Linked DNA regions of Astyanax mexicanus. The protein of the gene in region 1 purifies or fractionates together with the protein of each later gene. This does not show direct contact. Links are inferred from orthologs where the notes say so. Each region holds a gene or a part of one and is shown in the gene's direction. Other genes may lie near its edges.

Evidence for each region. The genes of interacting proteins can lie anywhere in the genome.
Region 2: the proteins of dhx38 (region 1) and smek1 purify together in Homo sapiens (co-immunoprecipitation; 3 studies listed by BioGRID and IntAct, with this or other methods). This does not show direct contact. The link is inferred for Astyanax mexicanus from reciprocal best matches to the Homo sapiens genes DHX38 and PPP4R3A.

The regions. Positions count from the first base shown.
Region 1 is NC_064423.1:36,778,091-36,785,270, forward strand, and holds the start of dhx38 (pre-mRNA-splicing factor ATP-dependent RNA helicase PRP16), read left to right. Parts: upstream 1-4,174; 5' UTR 4,175-4,255; exon of another isoform or gene 4,256-4,342; intron 4,343-5,806; 5' UTR 5,807-5,867; intron 5,868-7,180. UniProt on the Homo sapiens protein: Probable ATP-binding RNA helicase. Involved in pre-mRNA splicing as component of the spliceosome.
Region 2 is NC_064408.1:51,831,334-51,839,077, forward strand, and holds the start of smek1 (serine/threonine-protein phosphatase 4 regulatory subunit 3), read left to right. Parts: upstream 1-4,731; 5' UTR 4,732-5,651; coding exon 5,652-5,793; intron 5,794-5,891; coding exon 5,892-5,947; intron 5,948-6,522; coding exon 6,523-6,621; intron 6,622-6,827; coding exon 6,828-7,445; intron 7,446-7,744. Other genes in the region: erh (enhancer of rudimentary homolog), read left to right, coding at 1,615-1,702, 1,788-1,908, 2,699-2,801. UniProt on the Homo sapiens protein: Regulatory subunit of serine/threonine-protein phosphatase 4. May regulate the activity of PPP4C at centrosomal microtubule organizing centers.

The DNA.
Region 1 (7,180 bases):
CACATTTAACTCTCTTTATTATTCTCTTTCTGATTCATACAGTGTGGTACTGAAAGATTACAGATGATGAAAAATGGTCCTAACACTTTTGCCCTTTTGTATTTTTTACACATATGTTTATGGAGATGTAATGAAGAGTATAATAACAGTAATTTATTCGTTGGAGAAGCTGATTTGTGGTTTTGTGTGTTTAATACTTGAACTGGTGAGCAGTCCACAAAGTCTATATTTCATATATACGTATATATATTTCATACGCAGATTATTCTATGCATTCTACAGTACGTTTTTTTTTTCTTCATCTCGTCGTTGCCGCCGACAGTTGTAGCGTGTGCTGTTTCACGTGTTCGATGCCTCAGAAGAGTTTGGTCCGTGAGCTGCCTTCCCCTGCAGTAGTGACATTGTTCTATATGTATGCAGATCTGTTCTTTGTTTTGTCTCTTAATGATTATATGTCTTTTCATATGCATATTCACTGTATTCTTTTTTTCTTTTCAGCCCATGCAGCTTTTTTTTTTCTTACTTTCAGTGCTTTTTACACAATCGGGTGGTTGAATGTTTTGTTAAATATGCTCTGATTTCATGTAATTGCACCCTGTATACACTCATTAACCAAAAATATTATAATAATGCACCAAGAATACAGTATATAAGTGATTACAATTTTACACCTGGTTTTAGACCACAATAATTGATTGTGGTGACGGACAGTTCTGGTGGAAACAGGAGAGTTGAGGTGCACATTGGATCCTTCCGTGATTTGATCAGCCGTGGTTTTCTGTTTTTTGGATACAATCTGGGTTAGCACCCGAACATCCCTTTCAGACAGCTTCCTCTTACAGCGTCCACAGTTAATCCTGTTGGATGTGGTTGATCCTTCTTGGTGGTATGCTGACATTACCCTGGATACCGTGGCTCTTGATGCATCACAAAGTCTTGCTGTCTTGGTCACAGATGCGGCAGCAAGACGTGCACCAACAATTTGTCCTCTTTTGAACTCTGGTATGTCTCCCATAATGTTGTGTGCATTCCAATATATTGAGCAGAACTGTGCTCTTACCCTGCTAATTGAACCTTCACACTCTTATTGCTCTTACTGCTGCAATGTGCAATTAATGAAGATTGGCCACCAGGCTGCTCCAATTTAGTCATGAAACCTCCCACACTAAAATGACTGGTGTTTCAACAGTTTCATAGTCCATCCTGGCATCCCAGCTGATCCAATAAATTCCTTATTGGTAATAAATTTTGCGTCCAGACAGGCCAAAGTTTGTGGGAACAAGCATTATCCTGCTAAAAAAAGCCCTGCATATTTTAATGAGCTGTTATTGTGCTTCTTATCACTACTACTGGTGAGCAGTGACATGCTGATGAACAGTCTGGATGGTGTGCATGCTGGTTCTTTCAGTCCAATGGTGCATACCCTCCTACAGTCTGTCAAATGTGCAAAATGTCTATAAGTACATTGTAGAGGTGTGTCTAGCTGTCTGATCTCTCACCTGGAGGTACACTACCCAAAAGAGTATAGTGCAAATGAGAGCCTTTTTATATAGAGCTCTGAAAAAAAAAGAAACCACTTCAGTTTCTGAATCAATTTCTCTGATTTTGCTATTTATAGGTTTATGTTTGAGTAAAATGAACATTGTCGTTTTATGCTATAAACTACAGACAACATTTCTCCCAAATTCCAAATAAAAATATTGTCATTTACAGCACTTATTGCAGAAAATCAGAAATGGCTCTAATAAAAAAAAATGAGGCAGAGCTTTCAGACCTCAAATAATGCAAAGTTTTAAGAGTTCAGAAATCAATATTAGGTGGAACTGTGTTTTCATGCATCGTGGCATCATGTTCTCCTCCACCAGTCTTACACACTGCTTTTAGATAACTTTATGCCTTTACGCCTGGTGCAAAAATTCAAGCAGTTCAGTTTGGTATGATGGCTTGTGATCATCCATCTTCCTCTTGATTATATTCCAGAGATTTTTCAATTTGGTAAAATCAAAGAAACTCATCATTTTTAAGTGGTATATATATATATATATATATATATATATATATATATATATATATATATACAAAGTAGCCTGAGTCTGTTTTGCAGGTCTGTATTATTTTTTGGTGAATGAGTGTATAATATATTATTGGCTGTAGGTTTTGAGCACAGTGTAATAATGAGTGTGATAAGAGCAAATTAAGATTCTGGTACTTTGTGATCTCCTCTCAGATTGTAGTCTCTGATCATCAGCTGAGTATTTAATAATAAATCATTCATAAATCATTCCGCCTCATTTTAAAGTGTAAATACGTGATTGCTCCTGTGTGCAGTTCCACCACAGCACTGCTTTGCTCTGTGTGAACATTGTGTACATCTTCCTGGCTGTCCGATATATTTTAAATTGTCTTGATTTGAGAGAAGCTGTACGTTTCTTTAAAATACAGCGGAAGAAAATGAACTCTGACTCTGTGTGTTTGGTCTAAATTTTGGATACATTATTGATGAAGCCTTCACAGACATGAAATTATATGCCTGATATATTTAATTAAATAATATTGTGATCAAAATGTTCTAAAGTGCCCTCTACAGTGTTAAAATGGAAAGATCTATTTATTTTTGTTTCTTAATAGGAACTTGCTCATTTTTTATGTAGATAAATAGATACATAGATACAATTTCCATTATGAAAATTGTTGAACATTTATAAATGATTAGATAAATAAATATGTAGATATATTTCATATTTCATGTAGATATATTTCATATAGTTCATTATTAAATTATTAAACATATATTTATAAACTCTGCTGAATGCTCTATAGGAACCAATTAATTTCATGTAGATAAATAGATATGGAGATATGTAGATACAATTTTTAGTATGAAAATTATTAAACATGTATAAACTCTGATTTTGCTCAAGTGCTTTATAAGAATCCATAATTTATGTAAAAAAATAGATACATTTATCAGTTGATTATTAAATTATTAAACATTTGTATTTCTTAAACTATGGTTTTGTTTTATTGAACCAACTCATTTTATCTAGATAAATAGATATGTAAATACATTTATCAGTTAATTATTTAATTATTAAAAATGTAATTTTACACACTCTGGTTTAGATCAGTTGCTCCGTAGGAAGCCATTAATTTCATCTAGATAAGTAGATACATTTTTGATATGAAAATTGTTAAATGTGTATAAACTGATTTAATTGAATAATCTGAGTTTCCCTGAATGCTTCATAAAAGCCCATTAATGTATGTAGATAATTAGATGAATTTACACATTTTTCACATTTAAAATTATTAAACTTTTTATAAACTTTAATTTTCTCATTTTTTATGAGAACAATGTAATATTATGTAGTTAATATATATATATATATATATATATATATATATATATATATATATATATATATATATATATACATATATATATATATATATATATATATATATGTATATATATATATATACATATATATATATATATATATATATATATATGTATATATATATGTATATATATATATATATATATATATATATATATATATGTAGATAAGTTGAAACATTTTAAATATACATGTTAATATGTTAAAGTACATGTTATAATGATTAAACATTTATAAACCTTTGATAAAACTTTGTGCTCAATTGTTTCCCAGCAGCCCATTCATTTTATGTAGATAAATAGATATGTAAATACATTTATTAGTTAACTATTAAATTATTAAACATTTCAATTCATACACTGATTTTGTTCAGTTGCTCCAAAGGAAGCCATTCATTTTATGTATATATGTGTATATATTTATCAGATAATTATTAAATTATTAAAGATTTATATTTATAAACTCTGGAATTGCTCGGTCGCTCCAAAAGAATCCATTCATTTTTTTAAAGATAAATAGATATGTAGATAAGTAGATACATTTTTCAGTATAAAAATGATTAAACATGTATATATAAAAAACATGATTTTGTTCGAATGCTTAATAAGAGCCCATTAATTCATGTAACTAGATACATAGATGTTGTGATACATTTATCAGTTAGTTATTAAATAATTAAATATTTATATTATTAAACTCAGATTTTGCTCAGCTCTATAGAGACCCATTCATTTTTTTGAACTGCTCTCGAGACTCTTATTGTGAAGTGTCGTGTTTTCCGCTTCTTGTATTATGGGATAGCGATGGCGGTCCGCTGTACGCAGGTTGGACGCGGTTAGCTTGGTGTTTTTAGGGTAAATATCTTCATTTAGTGTCTTATTTCTGATTTTACCCGCCGCGCTGAGACCTGCTGTATATCCCGGAGTGTATTAGTGTGAGAGGTGGGCGGATAAGGGCTTTCTTCGGGGTTTAATCCGCGGTTTTAGCCGCTGTGTGTGTGTTTGTTCTGTGTTTGTTAGCGTTAGCTGCTCCGCTCACTCAGCTGTAACGTTACTGAGTTCAGTAAAGTTACCTGATTACAGACTGAGATTCGCTCAATTAATTATTCTCTAATTATTCTAGTCTATTACAGCGTATCCGAGTTAGCAGATAATGGGGTTTAAATGTAGGAAAATAGCTGTAATATTACAGTGTTTTGTGGCTTTTGGCTCATGGTTCTGTTAGCTAACGGTAGCAAACATTCTCGTTAAATTAGTTTAACCTAACCTAGCTATTTAGGTTAGCTAACTAGACTAGATACATTTTATTTGTGTATTTAACCAGTAAATTAACACGGAAAAAGGAGGATATTATAAGTTAGTATAAGATAATTCAAATTAAATTAATATAACCTAACTAGCTAGGTTGGTTAGCTCGTTACCTCATTTCAAACAGACCTGATTTAAAACTGTTTTGGCTTTTTATAGTGAAAAACGTTTTATCTCCAAATAAATAATAAAGACCTTGGAACCACTAATTTACTGTTTAATTAAAAGACAAACATTTACAAATGTTGGGATTTATTTCTACTGTCTGTATAAAACATTACTAAAAGTATATTTTATATTAGTATTTATTTTTTTGCAGTAGTGTACACTTGAATAAAATAATTTGTTTGAGAGAATTCCAGTTAAATAATATAACCTGGCCAGCTAGGTTAGCTAGTTAGTTACCTTTCCAAACACATCTGATTTAAAACAGCCTTTTTTAGTTAAAGAAATAGTTTTAGTATGCTTTAATTGCCGTTAAAATATTATGGATTAACTAGCTAGGTTAGCTAGTTACCTCATCTTTTGTTGATGCATTACTCTAGTTTTGTTTCATTTTTAACTTTTATTAGACTTATTATTTTGTATAAAAAGAGTGTATAAAACATTGTATACTAAAAATATATATTATACATATTAAGATTCATTATGTTGCAGTAGCTAGTTACCTCATTTTAAACACACCTGATTTAAAACAGCTGTGGCTGAATCCTTTACATTTTTAAGTTATGTTTTCAAATGTATTTATGTATATTTAAGTAGTTAAAAGGACAGGATTTTAATGTGCAAGAGCAAACAAATTAACATACTAGGGTTAAAAAAGGGAAAAAAATGTTTTATTTCGAGTTATATATTTAAATATATAAATAAAATATATATTACATTGAATATATATTAAAACAGTATATATTTATGTCCACAGAAAAAGGCTGGGTCATTGGTGTTCTACTTTTCAGCATTAAGATTAGTATAAATTGAATTTGTAGTAAACCTGTTAGTAATGATGCACTCATGTCAGAATATTAGAACACAGCTTTTATTTGTTCATTAATTTGGTCATATTTTAATGAAGTTCTGACTTTGCTTTGTGTTTCTCAGACAGGCACTGAGATATTATGCAAGAGACCAATGGGTTCTTCACACCAGCTTTTTAAATAAGGTTAGTAACACCCCTCCGTCCCACACACCTCCTTCACCTCTTTTTTTTTTTTTTTCTTCTTCTCACTATTTCAAGTCCTTTTTCACACCGGGAAGTCTAGACCAGAGTTAGCACAAATCTTCATGTGAATGTTGTTAATACGGTGAGTTATCTTTACAGGTTGTGCTGAATTCTGACTCCCTATAGCAGCATGGATGATTATGAATAAATCAAAAATCATGAAGTGAAGAGGGACTAAGTTGGCATCAAAGCAAACAGTGCTACTTTGAATCACCTAAAGTATAAAACATATTTAGGCTTGTTTAAGTTCTTCAAGTTTTTCATAATCGCATATAGGCCTGGCACAATAACTTTTTTTGTGAACATTATGTTGTCAGAAATGATTGTGAAAAACGATAGTAATGATAACATAATATCATAAAAGAATTGCACCCTTTTAAAGACGTTAAACTTTCCATTCCTGTTCACACGCCTAATTTTGGAACCCGAAAAGTTCCCAGCCTGAACCAAAGTAGCTTATAGTAGGTTCTTCAACATATATATACATATACACATTGTGAAATGTGGAGGCAGGGGAGCTGTGGGTTGACGTGCAGCCCCGGTCTGCCCCAGCTGGCCCACGTTGGACCAACATAAAGAGACACTAAAGTTAAGCGACTAGAGCCGTACTGGGTGTTTCTATGTTTCATTAAGTTTGTTTTGGGTGTTGATGGAGGACATTTTTCCTAATAAAGGTACAATTTGAGTTCATTCACTCCCTGTGTCTGTGTCTCTCTGTGCTTCCGCATTACCAGGTCACACTCACAGTCACAATATATGTAAGTGCAAACACAATGGACGATATCACGATTATTAAAATGATTGAGGTCACGTCCATTTATTGAACGATAAGTCGATTGAGTAATTATTGTGACGGGCCTAATTGCATATGCATTCCTTTATAGTTTTGATGTATTCATCATTAATCTACAATGTAGAAAATATTAATAATAAAATAATTAAAAAAACATTAAATGAGTGCTAAATAGACTGGTACTTTGTGTTCTTTCTGTGTACCAAGTGCGGTCATGCCCCAAAGCTTTTCACTCACCTTTACATCCTTACTTAGAAGATATGAAAGTAAACTTGATTTGATTTGACTCTGGCCCTACTATATTTTTCTTATATGATTTTATGATACCTATTTTTGTTTAGACAATATATTGTCCCAGAAATAATTGTGATAATATTATTGTTGTTATTTGATGAAGTTAATCTAATAGTATAACACAATTCCACACAAACCTTTTTATCCCCTTTACCAGGCCTTGGTC
Region 2 (7,744 bases), on another chromosome or scaffold:
ATGTTTATTAAGGAGCTGGGTGTTCCAGTTCGCGGTTCAGTAATCCTGGTTTATAAGAGGGCAGAAGGTTAGCTGGGTTAACAGAGGAAACTAGTGTAGAGTGAGCTGTATTTAGACTCCACTGCTTTCTGGCAAAATGTTTACTAACATTAGGAAATCTCTCTGGTTCAGGTAGATAAAGTAGATAATTGACTGTGTGAGCTGCTTTTACCTTTACGAGCAATTCAAGCTTCAGAAAGTCAAGATGTGTGTCCATGAAAACCTCTTTCTCCCTCTCCATGCAGCTGTCGGTGTGTGGAGTGTTAACTGTGACTAGTGCTGGACGATATGGCCAAAATTTATATCACGATATATTTCTTAAATTTCGGTCGATACGATATAATTTCGATATTGATATAAATACTTTGAAGGCCTCAGAAAACTGCTAAGAAGCCCTGCAATCCCTGCAGCACTGCGAATTTAAATTATTATATAACTGTGTATTTGCACTTTTTGTATGGCTGGCATCACATACCCTCATTATATGCCTATCTATCTATCTATCTATCTATCTATCTATCTATCTATCTATCTATCTATCTATCTATCTATCTATCTATCGGAAACCTGTACCTACTACTGTCTGAAAATTTAATTTAAGCCTTTGAAACCTCCTTTCACAAAAGCTTTAATACTTTAGAAATAAAAGTAGTCAAAATAAATCAATGCTCAATTTTATTTGCATATAGCAAAATAATAACATGACATCCCTGTCAAACATAAGCCTATATAACTATTACCAATAAAAATAACTTTAAATTACAACAGAGGCAGAGCTTCTTATTCTTTGTGAACAAATTTAACAGATTAAAACAAAAGTGTTTCAACTAGGATATAGAATACAATAAGCCTTTATAAACATCAAAACAACAAGATTTTCCCGTCAAATAAACAAACCTACAGGCTTTATCAACTATGAATAACTTAGTTACAACATAAGCTGTAAAAGTGCTTCAGTCAGTATAAGAAAAATATTGTATGTAGTGGAGTTGCTTGAAGTGGTGGAACAGTTTAGATGTATTAACATTACCGCTGCTGGTCGGCTGCACTCTCCGGCACAATTTGTAGCAAAGCGGCCGAGCGAGCGGACCCGCGGCCGAGCGAGCGGACCCGCGAGCGGACCCACGGCCGAGCGAGCGGACCCACGGCCGAGCGAGCGGACCCGCGGCCGGCCTCGAGGATCCGGGGCCGACTGAACCGAGTCTACCTTAGCCTTGGATCCGCTCGTCCCGGCTCCGTTTGGCTCCAGCGAGAGACATTTTTGCTGCGTAGCGAAGCGGACCCGAGCCTAGCCATTTTAACCTAGCCTTGCCTAGCCTAGCCTATTTGGCTACGTGCCTGTGTGGTTACGTCATCACGCACTGACGTAGCCCAGCTACAGGGGCTGAATGTGTTGAGCTCTGCAGCGAGCTGACGCCAGTAAAAGACGCCTGTCCGTGATTCTAATACATATCGATATACCACAAAACTGATATCACCGTTATTGAAACATTTCTTATCGCGATAAATACCGATATCGAATTATTGTCCAGGCCTAACTGTGACCCTTCATGATTTCCTGCTTCTCTTTTTCAGTCTCACACAATTCTGCTGGTTCAGCCTACAAAAAGGCCAGAGGGAAGAACTTATGCTGATTATGAGTCTGTGAATGAGTGCATGGAGGGTGAGCTCTATAAAATCAGTCCATGGGTTTATGGGTTTAGGGTGTGTGTGTGTTTTACCTCTTCTTCCTCTTTTTTTCTTTCTAGGGGTGTGTAAAATGTACGAGGAGCATCTAAAAAGAATGAATCCCAACAGCCCCTCCATCACCTATGATATCAGCCAACTGTTTGATTTTGTGGATGACCTCGCTGACCTCAGCTGTCTGGTGTAAGTGTCCACATTAAATGAATCTTGTGTGTAAACAAGGCATGAATGTTAATCGCTGAAAACTTCACTGTTGTTTTCATGAAAGTGAATAAACATATTGCACATCTCCAAAAATTTTTTTAGGATAAGGTAAACAAACAAACCTTTTTGACTTGATCATGTAACAAGATTTAAAGTGACAGTCCATACATTTTGGTTGAGAATGAGTAATTGCACAGAATGTTAAAGTTCTTTAAAAATGTGCATTGTATAAGCACTAATAGCAGCACTGCAAATGCTCAGGTAAACAGCTAAAGCTACCAGACCCCCTGTTTTTAGAACTAATATCTATGGTTTTACAGTAATGTTTGCAGAAACCCATAAAAATAAAAATCTTAAGAACTGCTGCTTTAAACAAATCTGATATTTTGGACTATTCATCATTACATTACATCATTTCTGTAAAACAATTAAAAAGAAAATGTATTGAGCTACAGTGTTTTGCTTAACACTTACTATGAGTTGTTACTTGTTTGGCTGGTTTCTCTAATTAGGTTTGGCCCAAATCTGGATTAATGTACAGTGACATTGCTTATGCAGTTCAGTGCTACAATATGCTTAATCCATGTGATCTGAACTGTACGATGCTTGTGGAAAACTAGCCTACCAATTTGAATAAGCTATTATCTATATCTATACTACCGAACATCTGCAGCCTCTGCGTAAGTTTGACTGTGAGTACAATATTTTTAGGAATACTTAAAGGATAATACATGATTGTGTGGATTTCTCTCTCTGCTGATTTGAACAGGTACCGGGCAGACACACAGACATACCAGCCCTACAATAAAGACTGGATCAAGGAGAAGATCTATGTCTTGCTGAGACGCCAGGCTCAACAAGCAGGGAAATAGAAGATGAAGGGACATTTCACATTGGCTGCAGCAAATCGTCTGTCATTTGTTACCTTAATGAGAATTACACTGCATTATTGGGCAATGTAAACAAAACCCAGGTGGGTTTCCTAAAAGTACTGTAGGGTTAAGACCTTTTTATCTGTTACTAGGAAACTGATTCAGTTAAAACTTGCAGGTCTTTGCCACAGTGTTTTTGGGAAACTCAGTGTTCTTATGTTGATATTATGTTGATAACATTTGTGTACTCTTAATGCCAAGAAAGATTTACCATCAGAATACCTTTATCTGGCTCTAGAGTGCTTGGGGTGGGTGGGGGCATGGGCAGTTGGACCCATTGCAGTGGGGTTTATTAACTGGACAGGAGGGTTCAATTTGAAGGATTTTTTTTAAAGATATATATTTTGTATCATCCTCCCTCAAACTTTTTTAAATATAATTTCAAAAGTTGTTTTCTGTGATTCTCCAGTAGTTTACACTGAATCTGCATTCTGTATAACGATTCTAAAGCTGTCCATGCTTGCCGCTTAATAAACTTGTTTGGAGTGGTTTTAGTTTGGTTCTTTTCTCCTTTGTCCCTAAAGCAGTAGACGTGGTACACAAATTTTATATGGTTACAATAGGACCCACCAATCTGAGCCACTAAAACAACTGACTGATGTGTTTTTCATTGTGTGGGAGATTTTTCCTTGGTTGCCTTTGCATCCCTTTTTAGAACCGGTTTGTGTGTGCTTCCCTTTTTCCACAGTTTATATAAAGGTGAATTTACATTGTTACAGAGATGTTTGTGTTAAACGAAAGCATATTGTGTGAAAGATGTACGTTTAGACTTAATAATTTTCTGTTTTTGTTAACTGCTTGGAATGTTTTTTTTTCCCTTTTTTTAAATCCAATTTGGCTGTTAATGACTGTAACTTTTTAAGTGGCTCACCATTGTTTATTTTGTCATTTACTATAATAAACAGTTAAAATAACAAATTTTAACTTTGTGTGTGTTATTTTGAAACATATTAACAGGTAATCTAGCAAGTACATTTTGGGAACGTGTGGAACAAAACATGTCTCTTGTAAACTGCAAGGTCAGAGTTTCAATTTTTGTTGGACCTCTGTCAATGGAATGTGTATCACTTGAATTTTCTGACTTATGGATTTTATATTTTTATAGTGAACAAGAAATAGGTTATCATCTAGTTTTTTGGCACCTCCCCCTCATATTTTTTTTTTATTTGATTTTTGCATTTTGTAACAAAAGTAGGTCATCATTTGGTACAAGATGTAAAAAAGAACAATTAGAAAATTGGAGTACATCCAATTTCTTGTACATTATATTGAATGAGGAAGCAATATAATTACGTTTTATACCCTATTTTCTATTTTCAAATTTAATGTCATAGGTCAAAATGTTTTGTGTCGAGATTAACCAGTTTTTTTCCAATGTGTTGTACAGTGTGATTGTGAATAGGTTTATACTATGTTGTACAATGTGTTTGTGAAAGGTTAATAGTGTGTTGTACAATGATTGTGAAAAGGTTTATAGTGTGTTCACTGTAATGGTGAATAGGTTTACAGTGTGTTGTACACTGTGATTGTGAACAGTTTTAAAGTGTTGTGTACACTGTAGTTGTAAATATGTCTGTAGTGTATTGTAAAGTGTGATTGTGAGCAGGTTTGTAGTGTTGTACACTGTGATTGTGAATAGGTCTAAAACTGGTTTGTATGTGATTGTGAATAGGTCTATAGTGTGTTGTACACTGTTTGTGAACAGTTTTTTCTGTGTGAGTTTACTTTGTGTATATTGTGTGTTCACTGAGTTGATTTTGTGTGTGTGTGTGTGTTTACTGTGTGAGTTGATTGGGATTGTGTGTGTGTGTGTATTGACTGTTGCTCTGTGCCTTTAAACGGTGGCGGGCCGCCCTGCGCTCGATGCGTAGGAAACCCCGTACATGCTTTCTGAGGGGACCCAAGATGGCCGAACACTTACAGTGGGGCTAATAATTACTCTCGTCCAGACGGCGCGGTTTGATGGTGCTCGGCGGTTTGCCCGGGACGTTTGTTGTAGAGGGGAGTTTGTCGAGCTTGTCTGTTCAGCCGCTCCGGCTTCACACGCTCGTCTGCGTTTGAGGAAAGGCTGGTCCTTCCACGGCCCTCAGCCAGAACATGGCGGAACACTTGGCCAAAATATAAGCGTTAGCTAGCGGGGCTGCGAGCTGCTGCCGCTGCCGCCTACTTATCATGAGCGCACGGAGCTGTGCGGGTTCCTACAGCCGCGTTCACACTTCCACAGGCAGGGCGGGATTATAATGGGGCAGTAGAGGCGTTTCTTTCTCCTAAATCAACTGTGTTATTAGCGCTAGTCGGAAGAATGTTTGGGGAGAGCAGATAGCCCGCTAGCTAACAGCTAGCTCAGCTCGTTAGCAGTGGTGGTGGGCTCGGTTGGAGGAATTAGGGCAGCTGAAAACGAGCCCCCTCTTCTCCTGTGAGCTGTGCGCTCCACCCGCGCAGATATCCCGGGTTCAGAGCCGGAGTCGGAGAGGAGAAACGCGGCTGTGGTCGGCGACTCGGCGATACCGAAGGGCACTGACTAGCTAACTATGCTGCTGCGGACGGAGTCAACACACACACAGACCGCTAGCTTAGCCTAGCCGGCTAAGGCTAGACTGACTGGAGCAGCGCGCTAGCATCGACACCAGACGCAGCCGAGCGCTAGAGAGCTAAATGTCGCGTTTCTACAGAGAAGACTAAACAAGATACGCTTAAAGTAAAAGGGAGGGAGCCGCCTCCAACACCCAGATTTAACCAGGATAGTCTCACACCATCACCTGCTCCAGTGTTTACAAGCGACTCGCAAGAATGACTGACACTCGGCGGCGGGTGAAGGTCTACACTCTGAATGAAGACCGGCAGTGGGATGACCGAGGGACGGGCCATGTGTCCTCCGGATACGTCGAGAGACTCAAAGGCATGTCGCTGTTGGTGCGCGCCGAAAGTGACGGTAAGTTCATCTCAGAGAAACCAGCTGTGTGTCGGATTGTGTGGCACGGTCTGAAGTGATGAGTGGATACTGATCACCCCACCTCTTCAATTTCCCAGGGTCTCTGCTGCTGGAGTCAAAAATTAACCCCAACACCGCCTATCAAAAACAGCAGGTGAGTCCAAGTTTTACAGCTGGGCTATTATAATAATAGAACGACATTCACAATACCACTATAGGGCCGTCCAATAATTGGACTATACAATGTGTATCTCAATACAGTTGTTACTGTTCAACATATCACAGTGTTTTGCTATAATGTTTTGACATGCGGACAGCATGCATCATTCAATGTTTGCTGCACATAATCTAATTAAACATAATTGTTCACTCTCTTTACTGAAATGTAAAATTTAAAGTAGTCTTGAAGTACTGATCACCTCGATATGCTTCAAAAAGCATGTTGTCAATGCAATTAATACAAGTGCACATTTTTAACTGTCACACGAACATGAAATCCAGGACATTATGAGCTTGTGTGCAGTTTGTTTATTTACTTTTCAGTAAGTTAAAACTTTAGACTGCAGCTCTGTATGCAAGCAGACATATCCAGCCAGTAATTCTATCTCTAGCCTGGCATCATACAGCGGAAAAAAGTCAATGCCAGCCAAAGCTACGCATGACTGTTTTGTATCTTGACTTTTTTTTAATGTAAATTATATCTGATTCTTATGTTTTCTCTTCAATTAGGACACATTAATTGTGTGGTCTGAAGCAGAAAACTATGATCTGGCCCTCAGTTTTCAGGAGAAAGCTGGCTGCGATGAGATCTGGGAGAAGATATGTCAGGTGATTTGAACATGCAAACCAAATGTATTTGTCTAGCACTTTTGTAATGTTTACGGCAGTGCTGAGCCCAACATCAGTATTTTTCATATATTTGCTTCTTTCTTATTATTTTTATTTATTTTTCATTATTTTGCTCATATGTTCTATATTTTTGGATCCTCTCTCCCATATATTTTATTCTGCTTATTTGTGTTTGTTTGGTTCAGGTTCAAGGCAAGGACCCCTCAGTGGACATTACCCAGGAGCTCATTGATGAGTCAGAGGAGGAGCGCTTTGAGGACATGTCCTCCCCTGGGCTGGAGCTGCCTCCTTGTGAGCTCTCTCGTCTGGAGGAGGTGGCCGAGCTGGTAGCCTCGTCGCTGCCCTCGCCCCAACGGCGTGAAAAACTGGCCTTGGCACTGGAAAACGAGGGCTACATTCGCAAGCTACTTGAGCTGTTTCGTGTATGTGAAGACCTGGAGAACCGTGAAGGCCTACACCACCTGTATGACATCATCAAGGGCATATTCTTGCTCAACCGCACTGCACTCTTTGAAGTCATGTTCTCAGAAGAGTGCATCATGGACGTGATTGGCTGCTTGGAGTTCGACCCGGCCCTGCCTCAGCCACGGCGCCACCGTGAGTTCCTTACAACTACAGCCAGGTTTAAAGAAGTCATCCCCATCACAGACCCAGAGTTACGTCAGAAGATTCACCAGACATACCGGGTCCAGTACATCCAGGACATGGTGCTGCCCACGCCGTCCGTGTTTGAGGAGAACATGCTTTCCACCCTGCACTCCTTCATCTTCTTTAACAAGGTGGAGATTGTTGGAATGCTCCAGGTGGGTGTCAGTGGAAGGGTTCCTAACAGTGTAAGGTGTCTTGTTGATGCCAAGGTCAACAGTCTAAACCACTGTTTAAGTATTACATCAGATTGACTGTGTGGGATTTTTAAAGCTACGTATACACATTTAATATCAGTATGTTCATAATAAAAAGGCACAAACCTTTATGCATTTATCACACACTCATTCCTAGCAATGCCTGTGTCAGCAACAGAATATTACAATAGATAAATGAAGTTACAGTTTCTTGTGATGTCACATTTAGAGTTTAATAAACCAGGTCACGAGAATGTATT